3 linked regions of the Lepisosteus oculatus genome follow. Each later gene encodes a partner of the first gene's protein in a complex. Links are inferred from orthologs where the notes say so. Each region holds a gene or a part of one and is shown in the gene's direction. Other genes may lie near its edges. The genes, in order: bud13, cwc22 and cwc27.

The links.
Region 2: bud13 (region 1) and cwc22 share a complex: the UniProt entries of both Homo sapiens proteins name them as parts of the minor spliceosome. The link is inferred for Lepisosteus oculatus from reciprocal best matches to the Homo sapiens genes BUD13 and CWC22.
Region 3: bud13 (region 1) and cwc27 share a complex: the UniProt entries of both Homo sapiens proteins name them as parts of the activated spliceosome. The link is inferred for Lepisosteus oculatus from reciprocal best matches to the Homo sapiens genes BUD13 and CWC27.

The regions. Positions count from the first base shown.
Region 1 is NC_090718.1:5,139,024-5,146,028, reverse strand, and holds the start of bud13 (BUD13 homolog), read left to right. Parts: upstream 1-3,981; 5' UTR 3,982-3,994; coding exon 3,995-4,128; intron 4,129-4,860; coding exon 4,861-4,951; intron 4,952-5,099; coding exon 5,100-5,184; intron 5,185-5,338; coding exon 5,339-5,396; intron 5,397-5,755; coding exon 5,756-6,333; intron 6,334-7,005. UniProt on the Homo sapiens protein: Involved in pre-mRNA splicing as component of the activated spliceosome. As a component of the minor spliceosome, involved in the splicing of U12-type introns in pre-mRNAs.
Region 2 is NC_090707.1:19,010,402-19,017,499, forward strand, and holds the start of cwc22 (pre-mRNA-splicing factor CWC22 homolog), read left to right. Parts: upstream 1-4,044; 5' UTR 4,045-4,071; coding exon 4,072-4,134; intron 4,135-7,098. UniProt on the Homo sapiens protein: Required for pre-mRNA splicing as component of the spliceosome. As a component of the minor spliceosome, involved in the splicing of U12-type introns in pre-mRNAs. Promotes exon-junction complex (EJC) assembly.
Region 3 is NC_090698.1:27,600,164-27,607,490, forward strand, and holds the start of cwc27 (spliceosome-associated protein CWC27 homolog), read left to right. Parts: upstream 1-4,243; 5' UTR 4,244-4,588; coding exon 4,589-4,630; intron 4,631-5,954; coding exon 5,955-6,051; intron 6,052-7,327. Other genes in the region: protein SREK1IP1, read right to left, coding at 243-395, 1,079-1,126, 3,717-3,729. UniProt on the Homo sapiens protein: As part of the spliceosome, plays a role in pre-mRNA splicing. Probable inactive PPIase with no peptidyl-prolyl cis-trans isomerase activity. As a component of the minor spliceosome, involved in the splicing of U12-type introns in pre-mRNAs.

The DNA.
Region 1 (7,005 bases):
GCAGCTGCTGGCGTCGTGCCGTGGTACATGATGTAGGTTTTGCCATCTTCAGGCTCGGTGTAGCTCTGCAGGCTCTGACAGCAATAGAGGCTGGAAAAGAAGATGTTCATGACCAGACTCGTTAGACGCTTGTTTTCCTCGAACAAAGTTTTATTTAAAATTATGAACGAGCAGTGCACCCTCTCCATACCCACAAAACTGCTAAAGAAAATGTGAACAAACAGAGGGGGCTACTGTTAATTCCATAAAAACAATTCCAGAAAAATATTCTTAATCATATTCGTTACCCTTTTACACCTGACTTGCCAATAAACAGTTTAGTCCATTTTTAACACATGATCACATTAAAACTTGTTCAGAAAGTCTTGATATATAATATTCGTGGGTCAAAGCTCCACAGCCGAAACATGTTTCTTTTCTTCTCTTTTCAGCTGGAATAAACCTGTACTTTTTCCTCTGCAGCCCACATATGCAGACGCAGCTCCCTACGTGAACTACTTCAGTGTATATATATATAAAAGCATGAATATTAGATATCAATAGATGTTAATTTATATCAAGTAGTATAGATTGGGATATTTATAAAATTGTATGTAACTTCTGAATAAAGTCTTATTTATGGAAATAAATAATTTGTTTATTCTTTTAAAAATACTTAAACTATCATCATTTGAAATTCAGTGAAAAATTACTAGATGAAAAGACCATCAAATGTTTGAGGAAGAAGTCAGTGGAGTCGTCTTACTGTAAAAAGTCCAACAGTTAAGTCATTTTCCAAGAAAGGGTGTTTAAATACCTCCCTACAAAAAATATTCAAAATATTTGCCCATGAAGAATGTTAGTTGCGTTTACCTTAAATTTCTATATTTTGCTTTCAGATATTTAAAATTAGGAACATAAAGATGTTACACAGTTTTTTGTTCTATAGAAAAAAACGTCTCAAAGTTTCTGTATGGACACATGGTATTAATATATAAAACTCCTGTCCTCAAAACCAATCGAGGGATAAAGAAAAGCAGGTTTTAGAAGTGTATGTGAATATGAAAAATGCCACATTTCCTTAAGAAAAAACGAACACACTCATCTTTTATCGCCAATAACCTTCTCAAGAACTTTTTTTGCTTTTGCTTTTTGATAATGGCTTTTACATGTTTTCCTTCCTCTGCTTAGATTTAACTTTTATTTCCAAATATATTAACACAATGTGAGAGAGAATAATATGATGTAGTTTAGGTATCCAATTAAACCTTAACATACATTTGAAAGATTTTAAGTACAGTATTTTAAAAACCTTTGTCAGGTAAATAATGTTTAATGTAGATGTTTACTGGTGATAAGATGCACACTGTACTTATAAATTAAAATAAACACCCCCACAAAAAAAACTTTGTGTCAGTCAAGAAATGAAACTGAAACCATTTTACTTTATAAACCGATACTCCTAACTGTGCCCAAAGATCTGGACTAAATTAAGTTAAAACAAGATTATATAAACATTGGCTTTCAAAATAAAAACAAATAAAAAAATACAATTACAGTTTATTCAATCTCATCCATGACACTCATGATTTCCAAATTTCTGGGTATTTCGTTATTAATAGAGAAAACAAATTATGTTCTTCATTAAAGCAGTATATTTTATCCTTATTGAATAATTAAAACATTTTTATCATCAATTTATTTTATTGTTATATAGAGCCTTTTCAAGACACTTTTCATACATTGTACAGTAAAAACAAGTATAGTATACAGAATACATAATAAAACCAGATATCATTTTAAAAATGAAAAGAAAGAAATAGATGAAGAAGTAAAGGCTGCCAAAAATGATAAGCTTTAAGGAAAACGTCAACACCATAACAATTACAGAATTTCTGTATGAAATGAAAAGTGTAAAAGTGCTACACTGCAGTAGTAGACAACACCTAATGGCACAGTTACAGTATAAAGTAGCATATCAGGTAGTCCAGGTGGGGGGCTGCGTCAGCATGCGTAGTCTGCAAAGGAACAAGTAACAGGTTTGTTCCATGCTGCTGTTTTCTCTCTTCTCTTTTCAGCATGGAATAAACCTATTACTTGTTCCATATCATATAAAGTACATTCAACCTGATATAAGTGAAGAATCGTTTTTTTATCAAATAAAACCTTATTTAACAAGATGAGTCAGCTGAGAGCACATTTTCATTTACAATGACAAGCTGGAGAGTCTTCATTAATACTGCAATCGGAGTGCAGCTTCCTCCCCAGGAGTACGATAGCAGCATGGCTCCAATCCAGAGTGATTCATCCTGTTGTACAGATTATATCAAGGCCCACATTGTTGGAATCCCCATTAGAAAACCACACCCTTAGCAGTACTCTTGGTCACAGCAAAGAAATGAAACTGAAACCTTTCCACCAAAGAAAAATGAGTTTCTGAACATGCAAAAACAATGTACAGTAAATGGAGTTAATTTATTCTTTGTCTAATATCCTCAAAATCATCCTGGATCACACGGACCTCTAAATAGTACAGTACTGTATACCGTCTGTGCTGTTCACTTGAGCTGACAATTCAAGACATTGCTTAGATTTATACACTTCCAATAGACAGAGAAGACAGAGACACAGACCAACAGTCTGACATACAGTAAAGTTAAACAGCTAAACAGAAAGATATTTTCATCTGAACACCAGATTTCCCTGATCATTTAGCATTGATTTTAGCAACCCGTACAACTTTGTACTTTGAACAGTGGGGTTGGCTGATCGCTATAAAAATATATTTATAGTTTTCCGTTTCTGATTAGGAATTATACTGTAGGTTATTAACGGTGTAAAGATAATCTCCAGGTTTTGTTCTTTGTTTTAGACTTACATGTGAGTTCAAATAGAAAGATATTTTTATCTGTACACCAGATTTCCCTGATTGTTTAGCATTGATTTTAGCAACCTGTTCAACTCTGTGAGGAAACGCAACATTAAGTATTTAGTCATTACTAATTAGAATACAGTATAAGATTATAAGAACAGTTACTGTTAAAACAAGAGGTGGCCATGCCCTGTGATTAGCCCATTTGGTAGTTATTAGTTAATTGATCTGGAAGAATCTCATCCAGCCATTTCTTGAAGGAAACCAGAGTATCGGCGTCAAGTTCTCCTGTTTTCTGTTCTTGGAGTTTTCACTTGTGTCCCTGTGGCTTGTGTTTCACTGTTTGTTTTGGAGTCCCTTGAGAAAACTCCTTCGGCAGCTTGGAGAATTTTGAATACTTGTATGAGCTCCCCTCATATTCCTCTCTCCTCGAGAAGAATAGACATGCATCCCAGATGGGCAATCTCGTTGAAATGCTACAGAACAGCAGGTTTTATAGCTTTTACAGCTGTGTATTAAATTGTCCATCCCCAAACACTTTAGGACATTTAATACTTCAGTAATAAATATTATTTTTTATTTCACAAGGCAGCAATGTCATCGGTTTAGAACGAGTAAGAAATGAACATTCTGAAACGAGTGACATCAATATTACATTTAAAAAAATAAATATAGCTCAATAACTGGTGGCAAAAAAAAGCGTATCACTGCCTAATTTTATGAATACCTGGAATGTTATTAATCATATTCCTTTTTTGGTTTTTAGTCTTAAATATTTGATTAGGCAACGTTTCCATTAGAGCAATAAGTATAGCAATGAAAGAAACAAACAGCTTTCAATTTATGTTTCAGTTCTGTGGGTGAGACATTATTGTAATAACCTAGTACTGTGTCCGAGTATTGGATAAAAACACTAAAAGTGAGTTTGATTTAACACTGCAGACTTTTTCAGAATGCATGTTCTAAGATACAACTACAAATAAACTAATAATAATACCTATGTTTTGTTGTGGCTGCTTTGAAGTATTTATCCTTTACTTTTTCTCTTATTCGTAATTCCGCTTTTCGCTGTTTATTTTTTCGCGTTTACTGTTTTGACCCCATCCGGCTCTCCGTCAGCCCGGATTGTTTTCACGAGCAGTAATGGCCGCTTCCAGTGCGCTTGCTTCTGTCTCCAAAGCCGAGTATCTCAAACGCTATTTATCCGGAGATGGAGATGGCAAAACGTCAAAAAACAAGAAAGCCAAGAAGAAAAGACCGCAGTCTACAGCAAAGGGGTATGTTTCAGGAACCAGTGACTCAATCAGGCACATTAGAAATGCAGAAAGTGACTGAAAGTTGTAGGCCGGACTAAACTTACTGAGATACTGGAGTGGAGTGTATGAGCGCAATCGAGAGCGTTGTCTTGATTTTACCTCTACGAGCCGCATAAAACGCTACAGTACTGTATATGTGAGGTTATATTCTCAATAACCCAGGTTGTGGAAGTCTTGAGAAATGTATTTTTGAAGCTGTGCTGTGGGGTCTGATCGTTCTGTTGTGGGAAACTCGAAAGAGGATTATTGGTCGCAAGGTAATTTGGGTCTAACATGTCCAGTGTTTTCAGCTGCAAAGGATCTCTGCTAATCTCTGTGTCGGACATGTTTTCCTGCTCCTCTGGTATTGTAGGACCAGTCTTTCTCTAAAAACTTCAGGAGTCCGGCAGAGAAGATCCTGTTGGACACCTTTCATTGGGGAAAAAGTGCTTCCTGAATGAGAACTGAGAAGGATTTCTAGGAATCTTTTAAGAGACACGTTTATGTCCATAGAAGAGCTTTTGACGATTTATCGCAATACTGTTCAAGGGAGAGTTGATAGATCACGCCTGTTTATCCACAACAGACCAACAGCTATGACTCTTTTTTTAAAGCGTTTTTATTTGTGGCAGGCTACATGTCGGTGATTACAAAAAAGAGCATTCCTGCTGTTTTTTTTACGTTTTGCCCTCCTGTTGTTGCTGCTGCTTGCAGGATGAGAATAGTGGATGACGATGTGGACTGGAAGCAGCTGATAAAGTCAGAAGAGAAGGACGACTACGAGGAGGAAGAAGAGGCTCCAGTGGTAGGAATTCCTTTATAGTTTACATTCATTTACAAATGCATTGGCTTAAACTATGTTTAGGTGCATTTCTGCTGTCCTGAACCTTGTGGAGAATCTTTGCACAAAAGCTGTTCCTTCTGCGTGCTCTGTTGTCGTCTTCCTCTTGTAGGTGGCAGAAGTGATAGATGAGCGTCCGGAGGAGGTGAAGAGACTGGAGGAGTTCAGGAACAGCAAGCGGTGGAAAACTTTGGGAGGTAAGAGTAACCGATGCTTACCTGCTCTTTTGGGGCTAGCATTCTGATGATTTAGCATCTATAAAGTTGTACTGTAATTGTCTAGGTGCATACATAATATTTGATTTGAGTTTCTAAGCAGTTTTATCAAATATTATTATGTTTGGTCTTCTAGGTACTAATGAAGATTTTCAGGATTCAGACAAGTTCCAGGGTGTCCGTTCATCAGCAAGGTACAGAACTGATGTTTAATGTATTTTAATTTTTCTTATGATTGTCTCGGCTTTGTATGTGGTACAGTTCGATGCATGTCTGTTAAAGCAGCTCAAATGCTATGAGATCATTTTGACTCACAAGAGGCACTTCCACTGTTAAATTATTAATGAAGAATGCCCCCCAAGAAGCAACACTGTTAGGAGCATTTGTTTGTCCAGGCTTTCAGTATTGGAGTATAAGAGACAATAATGAGCTGTCATTGAGTTTCTTTGGTGCTTAAAATGTGGATATTTCTAAAACATTACAGATCATAAAACAGAATACATTAAAACAAGTGTGTAACATTTGAGTTCATCTGTGTAATTGTCCATTTCAGTTCAGGAGCTGCCTCTCAAAAGAGAATAGAAGAGACATCAAGAAAAGGTCGTCATGATTCTCCAGATTTTTCCTCTGTGAAAAGGAGCCGTCATGACTCTCCCGACCTTTCACCCCAGCAGAAAGGTCGCCACGACTCTCCCGACCTTTCACCCCAGCAGAAAGGTCGCCACGACTCTCCCGACCTTTCACCCCAGCAGAAAGGTCGCCACGACTCTCCCGACCTTTCACCCCAGCGGAAAGGTCGCCACGACTCTCCTGACCTTTCACCCCAGCGGAAAGGTCGCCACGACTCTCCCGACCTTTCACCCCAGTGGAAAGGTCGCCACGACTCTCCTGACCTTTCACCCCAGCGAAAGAGACGTCACCACTCTCCCGACCTTTCACCCCAGCGGAAAGGTCGCCACGACTCTCCCGACCTTTCACCCCAGCGGAAGAGACGTCACCACTCTCCCGACCTTTCCCCATCGAGACAGAAAACTGTCCCCAGAAGAGCACGTCATTATTCCTCATCTCCTTCTCCCCCAGTTAGAAGCCACGGGGGCTCTCCAGCAAGAACTCATAAGAAAAAAGACAAAGGTAAAGAGCAATTTTACTTATGTACAGTGTAATATTTTTAGAAATAAGCCATTTGATATCTGATTATTTTATACCAGTTCCCATTCATGACCCTGTAGGGATGCATGAAATCACACCATCTGGCTTGGTTCAGTTTTGAATAAGTTTATCACAAAAGTCTCTGGAGAGTCAAGCTGTGTATAAAAAGTAATCTATAGCACATACATCACACAGTGTATATCCATCAGCAGCAGGTGACAGACCTTTTGCGTCACCATGTAAAGAGTGGAATATTGTATCAGGAAGAAGGTTTCTGTCTGGACGCTAGTACATAGATAGTCAGATAGTTCTCAGTTTTGACTGCAAAGCCGGTATTCACTTACAGGTCAGGAAGTTTGAAGGTAATTAATGGCTTTCAAAGCTTTGTCACGTCACATACGAGCAGCATGAGTTTGATTTCTCTTGTGAACGTAAACCTTTTGATAGTGTTTGCGTTGTCATTGTGTCACTCAGGGGAAACTTCAGGTTTTGTTTCTTGTTTAAGTGCGCTGTGCATACTTTTCAAGAACAGAATTGAAAAGCACTAATTTGTCTGTTGCACTATATATAAGACAGAGTAAAACTCTTATTTAAGGTTAGTATTCATGTTCTTCTAAGTAAAATACTGTTAAAAGTTGAATAGTTATAGTTGTA
Region 2 (7,098 bases), on another chromosome or scaffold:
TTACACTGCACAAATCTGGCCTTTATGGAAGAGTGGCAAGAAGAAAGCCATTTCTCAAAGATATCCATAAAAAGTCTCGTCTAAAGTTTGCCACAAGCCACCTGGGAGACACCCCAAACATGTGGAAGAAGGTGCTCTGGTCAGATGAAACCAAAATTGAACTTTTTGGCCACAATGCAAAACGATATGTTTGGCGTAAAAGCAACACAGCTCATCACCCTCAACACACCATCCCCACTGTCAAACATGGTGGTGGCAGCATCATGGTTTGGGCCTGCTTTTCTTCAGCAGGGACAGGGAAGATGGTTAAAATTGAGGGGAAGATGGATGCAGCCAAATACAGGACCATTCTGGATGAAAACCTGTTGGAGTCTGCAAAAGACCTGAAACTGGGAAGGAGATTTATCTTCCAACAAGACAATGATCCCAAACATACAGCAAAATCTACAAAGGAATGGTTCACAAATAAACGTATCCAGGTGTTTGAATGGCCAAGTCAAAGTCCAGACCTGAATCCAATCGAGAATCTGTGGAAAGAGCTGAAAACTGCTGTTCACAAACGCTCTCCATCCAACCTCACTGAGCTCGAGCTGTTTTGCAAGGAAGAATGGGCAAGAATTTCAGTCTCTCGATGTGCAAAACTGATAGAGACATAGCCCAAGCGACTTGCAGCTGTAATCGCAGCAAAAGGTGACTCTACAAAGTATTAACGCAAGGGGGCCGAATAATTTTGCACGCCCCACTTTTCATTTTTTTATTAGTTAAAAAAGTTTCAAAAATCCAATAGATTTCGTTCCACTTCACAATTGTGTCCCACTTGTTGGTGATTCTTCACATAAAATAAAAAATTTATATCTTTATGTTTGAAGCCTGAAATGTGGCAAAAGGTTGAAAAGTTCAAGGGGGCCGAATACTTTCGCAAGGCACTGTATATTTGATGTATTTTTTTAAATTTTGAACTATTGCATTGCTGTTCCTCGTAGTGTTACAGCTACTCATACGGTTCCTGTACTGTATTTTAGATGAGTACTGCAGTAGTATTGCACTGGAATCTATAGTATTTCATGCATGTAAACATGTTATTTTATTATTGCATTTACTTGAGTTGTAGTTTTTCAGCCTTTGTAATTCTCCCTGGCATGAAAATCAATTACAGGTTGATGTTTTAAGGCCTCATTTTTAAAATGGACTATAATCTTGAGAATCTTCTATGGAACAGAAATTCATGTGTTTGACATTGCTATAGAAAAAGCTCAAATGTCACAGTTGGCCTTTTTCTAAGTATAGTACAATGCTTGCATTCAATCTATCAGTATTTGCACTTGCCTATATGGAACCTGATGTTGTATTTTTGAACATCCTCTTTTGTGAACATGTTCTACTTAAGATCTCTTCCAGATGCAAGAACATTGAATAACTTTCTTAAAATGTGGTTCCAGCTATTTAAGTTCTTAATTAAGAAAGAAAAAGGAAGGCAGTTTCTAAGCAATTTTCTCAACTCCCTATCTTAAGAAATGTCTACTAGAGCAAATTAATTCATTGCGCTATATTGATCATGCAAAAATAAAACCCAGCATTTTCCATGGAATGGTAATCTTAGGAAGTAGCTATTTTTCTCATAATTAGACTAGCAGAGACATGTAAAATATTTAATAGTGTTGTTGATGTAAAAACTGCAATCACTGGCTGTTCAGATTGATGGATTGCATTGAAAGTGATTATATAATAATTTCAGCAAACAGATTAGTCTGTAACACAATGTTATTAATAAAAGCTTAGTATAATATATGTATATGATGGTATCATTATGACTTGTATAAGCACCATGACCTTTCTAAAGCTATCTTGCTTGAAACTGTGCAATTCATGGCACTCCTATGGTCTTGACCTGATCAGCAACTGCTAAAGAGCCCTATTTTGCATATGTGTGACCAGTCCTTGACCGATTTCTGTGAAAGTCAACTGTCCAAGATACTGTCATACCGGTTTTGTGCTATGTATAGGCTGCTGTCCTACAGATTTGGGATTTTTTTTCACAATACACAGAGCATTGCCACCTTGCATTACCCAAAGGCTAACACAATAAATTATTAACGCCACTCATAGCTTCAGTTCTATGGACATTACTGACTTTATGGTTGTAAAAAAAAATATTTCTCAAGTAAACTGTGCAAAAAGAATGTCTCTGTTAAAAAATGCTATTCTTTTGAAAATCAAGAATATTTTGGTCCTTTCCACACCATTTACTCCACCAAAGTAGCTTCACTGGCAGCATCGTAAAGCATAAAGTGTCTCCTTAGGGAACACACTGCCATAAAAGTGGATGTGAGATTCATCATTAATGCCACCTCTGCCCCATGATGTAAAGCCTGCTCTAGTTTTTCTTGTCAATAAAAAATGTGTTTTCATGTAAACCACGAAAACAAGGCCAATGCCCCAGGGTAAGCAAATGCTTAACCATTACATCTTAGCTTTTATTCCAAAGACTCCTGTGGTTTTCTTTCTTTTTGTTCAATAAAGCTTAAAAAAGTAGAAAGGACAGTATTCCAGCCTTAAATGTGAACGTCTTCTTCTCATGAACAGACACTGAAAAAATATTCTGCTCTTCTGGAGTATTTTGTTGAGAATTCCTATACAAATAGAGTATGAATTTATTCCTCTCATTGACTCATTGAGTCATTTTCTATGTTTTGTTCTTACTGTATTTTTTCTGTGATGGCAAATCCTGTACTTAAAGGAGAATCTTTTTTAGGTTCAAAAGCATTACACCATCATTTTAGGTTGTACGAAAATCGGCAAAATGGAGGAGGAAACATGCACACACATGAATGGAAACCTAACTTTAGGGTAAAGAGAAATAAACAGTGCTTGTTAATAATATTTCATATTTACACATACTGTACAGTGCTAATTAGCTCACAATTTTATATGTTAACAGCTCAGCAGGTTTCCCAAAGTAACATAAAATCTCTCTCAGCATTCATACTTAAAGCTAAAAATGAGAAAAGAATGGAGGTATTTTAGTTAAGATTTAAAGTATAATATACCATGGATATTTTGTAATATGTACAGTATACAATGTCTCCATATGCAGTAATCAAATGCCTTATCAATATATCCATAATAAATAGGAAAATCATAATTCGTCGCATTTATGTGCCACTTTGCACCCCAAAGAACTTTACATATTTGAAGGGACCCATATTATCCACCAAAGGAAAACTGCATTCAACTGGGTAATGTGTGGCACCCATTTTGCACCACTAGCCCCATAAACAACAGATCAGGGGGAGAAGTGAGAAAATGCTTCACCTATTAAATTAAAAAATTCAGGTTGTACAAATTGTGCAGACCTAAAATGGAACTTATCTAGTGAAACAGAGCTCATCCCCGTAGTCTCACAAACAGTGTCCAGGGACTTTAACAACAACCAAACTGCCAGGACAGAAAAGCAGTTTGTACGGCACAGTATTCCTTATTGCCATACTGGGGTATTAGTTTTAGAAATCATGCTTCAAAGGAAATAGTTACACCTACTGGTCTACTTAAAACACATACAGCAGCAACCTTGGTATCTTTAGTATCTTTATCCCAAAAATGACCAGACTTCTGAGATCTGAGATCAGATCAAGTCAGGATCTAAGATGTTAATGCTGCTGTGAAGCATTCAGCTCAAAATATTACTGTAATGTTAGAAGTCATACAACTGCTACTTACAGCAGTCTTTTTGTTGTTCTTTTGTATGTTGCAGCTTTCCGGCTGTGCTGTGTTCGTAGACTACACTGAAATCTTCTTTAAAAATGATCTACAAATTGCTGATGAAAACAATAATTAACGATCTTTAAAATCACTAGACACGTTAGTTAAATCTTGTCTAGAACACAAATACCTCTATCTTTTTATCACTCCCTATAGTGCTGGTAAAGTAACGGTCTATTTTAGATTTCGATACACTGTACTGTGATTTCGAATTTCGCGTTCTTTTGCTGATGTAGCAGGTAGTGTGAGGCTCACCAATTCGTGCCGTTTGAGCACTACAAGGATCCGTAGGTGATCTTCACTTGAGGAAAGATGGCCGCGGAATCGAATGAAGTTGAAATTGAAACAAGACGCGACTTGACTGCAACAGAGGAGGTAAAAATAAAGTATTTTCATGTTCTTTGAGTGATATTGTTGTCATAGTTTCATAGGTAAATTATTTATATAATATCACTTCAATGTTTAGGCGTTCTGATCGTCGTAGTAAGGTTAAGCATTGACGAAACGTGTACAGGCCTTCCCTGTACTATAAAGAACTCCGGTCTGTCACACATGGCGCAATGCAAGTAAACATTTCTTCCCTTGGGTATAAAAACTATTAAAAATATTTCTGCATTATGATTTTAATACATTTCCTAGCTTAAAAAGTTTTTTTTCCCCTGTTACTAATATGACCCAGGTTTAATTAGTCGAAAATAAACTATTACTAGTATACGCATTTTTGGTTAGTTTATAACTAAAACATTGTTGAATAAAACGCGTTTGTCTGCATCATCTAAGGTAAATCTGGAGTTGTAGAGACGATAACTTAGTTATCAACAATATTAGAAAAGTGTACGTAAGCTTCTCGCATTTTGTTATTGTTAGGCCGAATTTAATAGGAACAGGTGTTGGTATATTTATTCCATTTTTCCCTCGGATACTAGATCCGTAAGTACACAAATTATGGCGACGAAGTTTTTATAGATAGTTCTAGTGCAGGTTTAGATTCGGTGGTTGTATAAAATGTTTTGGAAAACAATTAAGAGTTTTATTTCGTCCTGTCTGTGATGCGTTACTGGTTCCAGGAAGATTGTAGATGCTTTTCCTTCCGTTAATATACACTTGTGGCACTGCTTCACTCTTAGCGGATTTTCTCAAGATAAACTGAAATGTAGGCCTACATGCTGTGAATATTGGAAGTAGCAGCATACTCCATTTGATGAGGAGAAGTTCAGTTACCTCAGTGAATTGTGAGCATGTCAGTTACCCGTTTTCTAAACGATAACTGTTTATCGTTCAGTAAAGGCCATAGGGTTCATTTATGGTGAATTTATGTCGTTTATGTATTTTATTGATTATATGTAAAACACCCTTTCATTTGCTTTGTGGTGGAGGAAAACGTTAATGCCAAATGGACTGGTGTTGAAAATTCAAGTATTTATCCGTATTTTTCTGATACAATTAATATAAAATAGTCAAATAAGATAGCAGCACTAATTAAAATTATAATAATAATAATAATTATAATTATAATTGCTTACACTTATATAGCGCTTTTCTGGACACTCCACTCAAAGCGCTTTACAGGTAATGGGGTCTCCCCTCCACCACCACCAATGTGCAGCATCCACCTGGATGATGCGACGGCAGCCATAGTGCGCCAGAACGCTCACCACACATCAGCTATTAGTGGGGAGGAGAACAGAGAGTAATGAAGCCAATTCATAGATGGGATTATTAGGAGGCCATGATTGGTTAAGGCCAATGGGAAATTTGGCCAGGACGCCGGGGTTACACCCCTACTCTTTTCGAGAAACACCCTGGGATTTTTAACGACCACAGAGAGTCAGGACCTCGGTTTTACGTCTCATCCAAAGGACGGCACCTTTTTACAGTATAGTGTCCCCATCACTATACTGGGGCATTAGGACCCACGTGGACCACAGGGTGAGCGCCCCCTGCTGGCCCCACTAACACCTCTTCCAGCAGCAACCTTAGTTTTTCCCAGGAGGTCTCCCGTCAAAATTGAACATTGCCAGCTGTTGCTTAGCACTGCTTTTACTTTTCACTAGTGTAATATGTAGACAGTACAAGTTGTTTGAATTTTCTCCCCAATACCTGTGGTTTTGTGAACCAAAACCAGTTGTGAACCGTGAGATCTTCAAACATTTTATCGTCAAGATCAATTTGATTGCATTATACATATAATTTATGTAGCATCTCTGATGGTATTCTAGTTCCATCTCATACCTGCAGATTCTGAACTGATTTTTGAACGCAGGTAAATTGAGTGGGAAAGATAGAATTTTATTGTGAGGGAAATGTAGTTAAGGAAATGAAGTGTCACAGCATGGGGAAATCACTGAGTCTAATAGTGTAAAAAAAGTCAAGGGTGTGTGTTAGTTTTGTCGGAATGTTATCTTTTTATTTGTTATCTTAGTGTAGAATTAAATTCTGAATGTTTTCAAATGGTTTTGCATTCTTATTATTTAGAAAATGTTTTGAAAGGAATAAGCAGTCTGTCTAAAAAGTGTAAATCTCATGGGTGGTACTGAAAGGCAGGTGTGACTTTTATAATAATAATAATAAACTTTATTTTATATAGCGCCTTTAAAGGTGGCTTCTCAAAGCGCTTTACAGGATGACAATAACAATAAATAAGAAGACTACAACAATAAATAAGAAAATTTCACAAGACAGGACACAATTATAATTACAACAATACAACAATAACAATAGAGGAGACCGTGGAAGATGGTATTAAGAAGAGCAGAGGGGTGAAGAATGGAACCAGTTAAGTAAAGGCTTTTCTGAAAAGGAGGGTTTTGAGTATGGATTTGAAGGAGTTTAGAGAAGGTGACTCTCTAATATCCTTGGGCAAGGAGTTCCAGAGCTTGGGGGCATAGCAGGCGAAGGCCCTGTCGCCCATACAATGTAGACGGGCTTGGGGGACAGTAAGGAGGGCAGAATTTGAAGAGCGGAGGTTGCGAGGTGGGGAGTAGGGCGATAAAAGTTCAGACAGGTATTGAGGTGCCAAGCCATGTAAAGCCTTGTAGGTGAGCATGAGGATTTTAAAGTCTACGCGGAATTTGACCGGAAGCCAGTGCAAGGACTCCAGGATAGGAGTAATGTGAACACTTGCACTAGATCTGGTCAGGATTCTGGCTGCTGAATTTTGGACATACTTTTAGATATGTTTGCAAAATCTATTCTCTTCTGTAGCAGCAATGACATCTAAGACTGACATAAAATTATTGAAGCTGAATATGCTGACATATTTTTTAACAGAATTGTGAGACATTTACTTTGAGTTAATAATAATTCTTAATTCCTCACACTTATACAGGACTTTTCTGG
Region 3 (7,327 bases), on another chromosome or scaffold:
TTTTTCACACCACTGTAAATGTCTATGGAAAGTCAAGTCAAACCTGAAAAAAAAAAGAAAACAAATACCCTGGCTGTGAACAGGTTAAAATTTCACAAAATACAAAACGTCTGCACTAATTTTCTAAAAGACATGCAGTATTCCCCTTCATTCAATCGAGGATGCATTTTCTCACTTGTCCACCTAATTGATTTATTTAGTAGGGCTGTTGGCATCCAATCCAGAAGCAGGCAGGTACTTACTCTTCGCAGTCGAGCTTGCCTGCACTCGTTCATTCAGAACTTCCTGCTCCTCTTCCTCACTCTCCTCACTGCTGGTGCTGCTCACATCCAGGACGATGTCCTTCCTGGGATCCACACGCACAAAGTTTCGGCACTCAAAGGTCAAGTGACCAGCTGAAACGTAAACAACCAAAGCTGGACATGAGAAGTGAGAAGTTACCCCCTGTGATAAGACATCAGAAAAATAATCGATCTGTCAAATGCCCGAAATGTGAAAAGACAAAATAATGTATCCTCTTTTACAATTAACAGTCTGTGAGCTTCATCAGCAATCCTGAAGAACATTTTATAACAACTGATGTGTATACTCAAGAGACCCTCAGGTGAAATCCTGAAAACAACACTTTGCAGCTCAAAATTCAAAGATTCCCTCCCACATTCTTCCAGTTCTACAGTTTAATGAGAAAAGACTTAAAAAACTGAATGTCTGACCACAGAGTCCGGTGTTGTTTGCATCAGTTGCCATTTTATGTGAGTAGACAGTGTTAAAGAATATTATTGGGTACATGAAATGTAGAAGAATAGTAGTTGAAATAATGTTCATGCAAAAACCTGTCTAGAAAATAAATAAAATTTCAATTCAAACATGGTTTTATTTTTAGATGCAAAACCAGATACTTTCCTTCACAACAGTCTCATTAAAAACACTATGGGTATTCAAAACACAAATTACTTACTATCCATGCCATCTAATGCTGGTACAGTACATTTCCCTTTAAAGACTACAACTCATTAATACATTCTTCAGGAAAAAAATCTACTGAAAAAATCTTGAGAAACAACAGGAAAATACTCACGGTATCCACACTTCTTGCATCCTGCCCTGATATTATCCTTGTTAGGACCTTTAATGAGAAATAATGTGACATTATTTCAAGCACTATGAAATCCTTTTCATTTTTTCAGCTTTCCTCAAAATTTCAAAGTGTCTCTCAAAGATGAAGCTTGAACTTCTGGGGGAGTTTTGTCACAGTAAAGCACCGTACATTTAAAGTACCTCTCTGCAGTTAAAAGGTCAAGTACTCCAAAGCTTGAATTCATTAATCAAACACAGACAGCAAGAAAGGAAATCCTTACGCTTCTAGGTAAGTGCACTGCACCTTCATAATTACCTTTTTGTTCCACTACTATTAGACAGGAGACACTTCTCCTTCTGTAGCAAAAAGGCTCTTAACAAAAATCATCTGAAAATTACCTTATTGAAAAGGGCTCTTTTCCAAACCCTTTTAAGGAGACTAAAATAATACCTCCTGAGGTGAATAAAGTATTCAGGAAAGGAAATATAAAATGTGAAAAGCCTTTCGAAGTTCAAGATTCAAAAGCTGAATCAAATGTTTCAAAATTATTGTGTGTAAGTCACTACAGGACCATTTCTCAGAATGATTATGATTATATTATACTATATAATAATATATAAGTTTTATATTTCGTTTTATTTACTCAAAACTTTTTTGTGCTAAAATATTAAGACTAAGTATTTTCCTTATTTTTAATTAAGATGTGACTAAAGTTCTAAATGATGTCACTACAACTGGAGACAAGCACTACTGCACTTATTTAATCTCAAAACCAGAATTGCTAAAATGAAGGTTAAAACCTTCAATGAAAAAAACCTCTACAAATGGCACATGTAAAGATATAATCTGAACTATCTGAAAAACCAAACGACAGTTCATCAAGTCAATGGTGGGTTGGCAACGTCTTTCTTTACAGCAAAGATCTCTGTGATGTACTGTGACATTCAACATGTTTTTATGTAATGAGTCAATAGCAAATATGTACAACCTTTCAGAGTAACAATTCAAAATCAATGTGTTCTATTAAAAATTTAATAGAAGACAGAAAATGACTTCCTGAGCTAAATACACCATAAAAGAAACAGCCACACATGGTTTTGTAAGCGCTGCAAAGTTAATGTATCAGTCTTGTTTAGACTTTAATTGATAACTGCTTGGTTAAAAATAATGTAGATTTATGTTTATATTTAGTTTTATTTATTCAGAACTTTTTTGTGCTAAAATATTAAGACTTAGTATTTTCCTTATTTTTAATTAAGATGTGACTCAAGTTCTAAATGATCTCACTACAACTGGAGACAAGCACTACTGCACTCATTTAATCTCAAAACCAGACTACTTTAACTTTAATTCAGCCAAGAAACTCTCTCAAATCTTTTCCAGAACTGTGGAAAATGGGTTTATGGGGGTAAAATAGCAGTGTTGTTCTTTTGTAAAGCCTTGAGCTATGATCTGAAAGATAATTATTATTACTATTAATTTATCAGATTACTTTATTCAAGAAGCCCAAGATTCTAAGCACCCAATTCAGAACACAACAGACAGTGGCTTAAACAAAAACATACCTAACATTACCTAGCTAATGTCAGGCACTTAATTTAGAATTATTTAGGACGGAAGCACCTTGATACATTACATTAGACCATATACTAATCTCAGAATCGTAATTCCAGTGTGATTAAATTGTTCCCTTATTAAACAATGTTTTTTCCAGACTTATACAGGGCAGTGACAGCTAGTCTATCAATGGAAAATAACTAGTTTACACCAAAACAAGACAGTCACATGGACCTAAAATGCCAGCAGACGACACAGAAATTTCTCTTCACACACCTGAAATCAGCCCTCACGGATGCTGAAATTACACCAGTTTAAGTCTTATACTAACTAAACCTAAAAAAGGATGTAAAAGCTTGTAGTAATGAAAAGCGTATTAAGCAAAACATAAACATAATGTGAATAATCACTCGATGTACAGTGCCTTTAAACTCCAATTAACGTAGTGAACTGTAAATCTAACAATCATACTCTGATACGGCTCCAGAAACAGTTTCAGTTAATATCTTTACACTAAACAAACCCGGATTCTTGAAAGGAATGAGCGGACGAGAGCCTCGGTTCAGCTACTGACTGCCAAATGCGTTACAGGGGCCGAATGGCCGCTTAAAGTCTGCAACCTCTTTTTACATTCTTATTAATGATCACCCTAAAAAAAATCTCTGATCCGTGATGGCAGCGTGCTCAGATTTTGAGAATACACAAGGACCCCCAGGCATTTACTGTTATTCATTCTATACTATACATGACTTCTGCACTGAACACACGAAAGACTACGTTTATTTGTTGTATGCTTCCAGTCACTCAGATATCTTTAGGCAAACTCTGGAATTAGCTTATAAGATGAAAACTAAAATATAAAAATATATCTATTAAACTGAGAACATCCTTAGTTACAGTACGTCTTGCTGTACTTCAGAGTCCCAAAACACAGCTACTGTAGCTCAGGATTGCTAGAAAATTCTCACTGCAGGCGTAGAGACAGTATCTTCCCCAAACCTTAATTTGCTTTCCCCCCCAAACGTATACTGTCAGCACGCATTCACACAAGATGATTTTCAAAGATTCGAAAGATAACAACCTGGAAGAGCCATGGCGAGACAAAGATATCCGTAAAATAAAACCAAAGCTTTCCGAAATTCAGAGCGTATACCTCACTTTCAAAACTTCCCGAAAGCTCCACCAATTAATGCACTCCCATAGGAAACAAGAATCACTTTCATCGTCTTGTTGTATTACATCATATTAAATATCTTAGACTTTTGTAATAAAACAAAAAAAACATAAATAATATCAATTTGTTGTTGCTTCTCTTAAAGCAAAAAGTATGAACGTAGCAAAGTAGGACGTGACGATAATTTTGAATTACTGTAATACTCATGTTAAACTCACAGTTACACAAAGTACACTGCAGATAAACTACAGAGGCTTAGTTACTGTCTGGTTATAATTTATTAACTTTCAAACTTGTATAACGTTTAACATACACATTATTCCAAAATTACAACATCACATTTCCGAAAAAGAAGAGGAATGAAAAGTTAATCAGCGGAGTTCACATGGTTTCCGTGGGGTGTATTTAGTGTGTAACACTGAGAAAACAGGGCTAAACCAAAGGCTACATTTAAAATGATGCTTTAAGTAATACATTTCATTTTATTACACATAAATAGAGACGAACAAACTTTCTAATTTAAAAAATGTATTAAATATTAAAACTGTTCTTTAAAATACTTCTTAAACGTTAATATTCTTTAGTTACCCCCTGCTTATTGTGGTTAAGCCAGTTTTTTTTTATACTTTAGCAACATGGTGGTCTGTTCGTTCAATTTAGGTTGATTGTGGGATTTTCACAGTGTGAATCTAAAAGAGTTTATATATTTTTGTTGAACATCGCGGGCGATTTTTTAAGGTGTGGGGCTTTTGTGTTGTTTTAAGCTATAAGGGACCAAGATGAGTAACATTTACATACAAGAACCCCCGACTAACGGCAAGGTGAGTGTTTATCCATATTACAGTGCTATACTGTATGTAAATTTAACATTAAATTCCCTACTCTTTTGTCCTGCATAAAACTTCATTTGGTGTGCTCGTTGCTCTAGGAAAACAAGCATGGTAATTCTTTTGCACAAGTGTTGCTTCAGTTCAACATTGACTCCAGATACTGTGTGGCATAATGTTAGTTATCCATTTAGAGCTATACATAACAAACTGCTTCAGTACAAAATTTTAAACAGACTCTGTTATACCCCCAGAAAAAAGTGAAAAAGATGAAGTGGCATAATACAGGAATGTGTTCCAAATGTAACACACATAAAGGATCATTATTGCACTTATGGTATTGTCAGCACATACAGTCGTTCTGGACCTCCACAGTGGGGAAAGCTCTCAGGCACCTAAATATCTCAGTTCCACTTACTCCCATTACATGTATCCTTGGTGATTTATCAAAGGTGGACTAAATGGACTAAAGAGGCTATATAACAAGTACAATTTGAAGAGATTTAATATAATTTACATGGGAAGGTTCATGAGTATAGGAATGTTTGGGGCCCATTAGAGACATACTTGAATGGCACTGGATGTTAAGAATATTAGTAGGAATTTATTTTTTGTAAAAAATTTTTTTTGGTATTGTCTAATAAGAACAAAAATGAAAGGGCGAAAAATAACAAATAAAGAAGTCCTCCAAAGTTGGTTTTTGCTTTTTACCGGCAATGATTAATGTTTCCTTCTCCTTCTGACCATCACTGACAAAATCCATGCAGATGCTATTAAACAGGGAGCTGGTGGTTGAATATGATAAGGCATACTGTGTAGTCAGTGTAGAGTGAGAGATGTAGGCTAAAATTATTTATTATTCCAGAAGTTTATAGCTGCACACAGTCATTATCTTTCTTCTTAATGACATTGATTATTATTTAGAAACATGGATCTGTCTAATAAAGTTGTGAGATTAATACAATGAGGTTTTGAGGATGAGGTTACTGACATTAACTGAGGTTAATGACGGGTCAGTCTGTTGCAGAAGTAACAGGTCTTAGCATGATAAGAAACCTTTAAGGCTAATTCGGCCCATCTTGGACCCCTCTTTATTATTAATGTAAATCTCTCAGGCTTCAGTTAGAGGAGGGTCATGTTTCCAATGATCTGAGATTAGCTAAAATGAGGTGTTGTGGCCAATGTGACTTTGCACCTCTTAGAAGAAAATCTGAGGTTTAATGTAAAATTGTACTGTATTCTTCATAATGTACTGAAATATAACTTAAATAATAGATTCATTTACTGGTAAGGTAAAAGAAATTGTTGCTTCATTTAGGTCTTATTAAAGACAACAGCTGGGGATATCGATGTGGAGCTTTGGTCTAAAGAAGCCCCAAAAGCATGCCGGAATTTTCTTCAGCTGTGTATGGAAGGTAAGGTGCACTTTTGCTTCATGTCTCTCCTCTCTTCCCGGCAGCTGTAAATCTTAAAGCTAACCTGTGCAGATGTGGCTGGAGAGAAGTGTAGGAAGAATGTAACATAAACTGTTGAAAAAAGAAGGGCATTAGGGTTCAGTGACAGATGTGGGACAGTGGAACATTAATTGTTCTTCATGACCTGAGCTGAACTTGTCTACATGCATCAAGAGACAGCTGTGGGAGGGGTATCAGGGGCTTATCATGTGTGCTGCACAGTGGTGCAGTGGTTAGCAGCGCTGCCTCACAGCGGTGAGGCCCTAGGTTCAGTTCCTGAGGTGTTTGTATGTGTTTCCTGAGTTTGTATGTTCTCCCTGTGTTCATGTGGGTTTTCTTTCGGTGCTCCGGTTTCCTCCCACAGCCCGAAGACATTAATGAAGTAACGAAAATCCAGGAAAATGCCACCTCAAGATCCTGACTTATGCTTTTGCTTACATTGTGTAAAGTGAAAGACAGGATCAGTACAAGACGAGGCCAGATAATTAAGATCAATGATGAAGATCTGCAGAGATAGCCCATTCAGCACATGCATTGCTGCCTCACAGTGCTGGGGCCCTGGGTTCAATTCCAGACATTGGGTGTTATCTGTGAGTTTGTAGGTTTTCCCGGTGTTTGCATGGGTAGGTTAATCGGCTTCTGGAAAAACTGGTGTGATGTGAGTGTGTGCATCTGTGTGTCTGCCCTGAGATGTGCTGGCCACCCTGTAATGGATGGAGCAGTTAGAAAACTGTTGCTTAAACATGTCAAAATGCTAATGTTTAAACATTAAACATGGGAAAATTGGCCCTGGTGTGAGTGCATGCGTGGCTGTGTCTTATTGCCCAGTGATAGACTTGTGTCCTGTCCAGGGTGTACCCTGCCTTGCACCCTTTTCTTGCTGGGATAGGCTCCAGCTCTCCCACGATCCTGTACTGGGTAAAGCAATTAGAAAATGGATGGAATACCAGCAGGCCTCCGAGTGCTTCTGTATGGATAGTCAGGTACAGTAGCTCCTCTCTAGAATCTATGCAAAATAAGTCCTGCTGCTGTAGTGTTTCCATACAGGTGGCAGATCAAACATTACTTATGCTTGATTCAGATATTTGGGACTTGGAATCCATTCTTGACATCTGCAGCAACAAAGATATAGGAGGTCAACCGTACCTCTGTGGCCTTATGACCAACCATTTGCATTTAAGGATTATAATCAATTTATACATTTTAGTTGTGTAGATTTATTTATACATATTTCCCC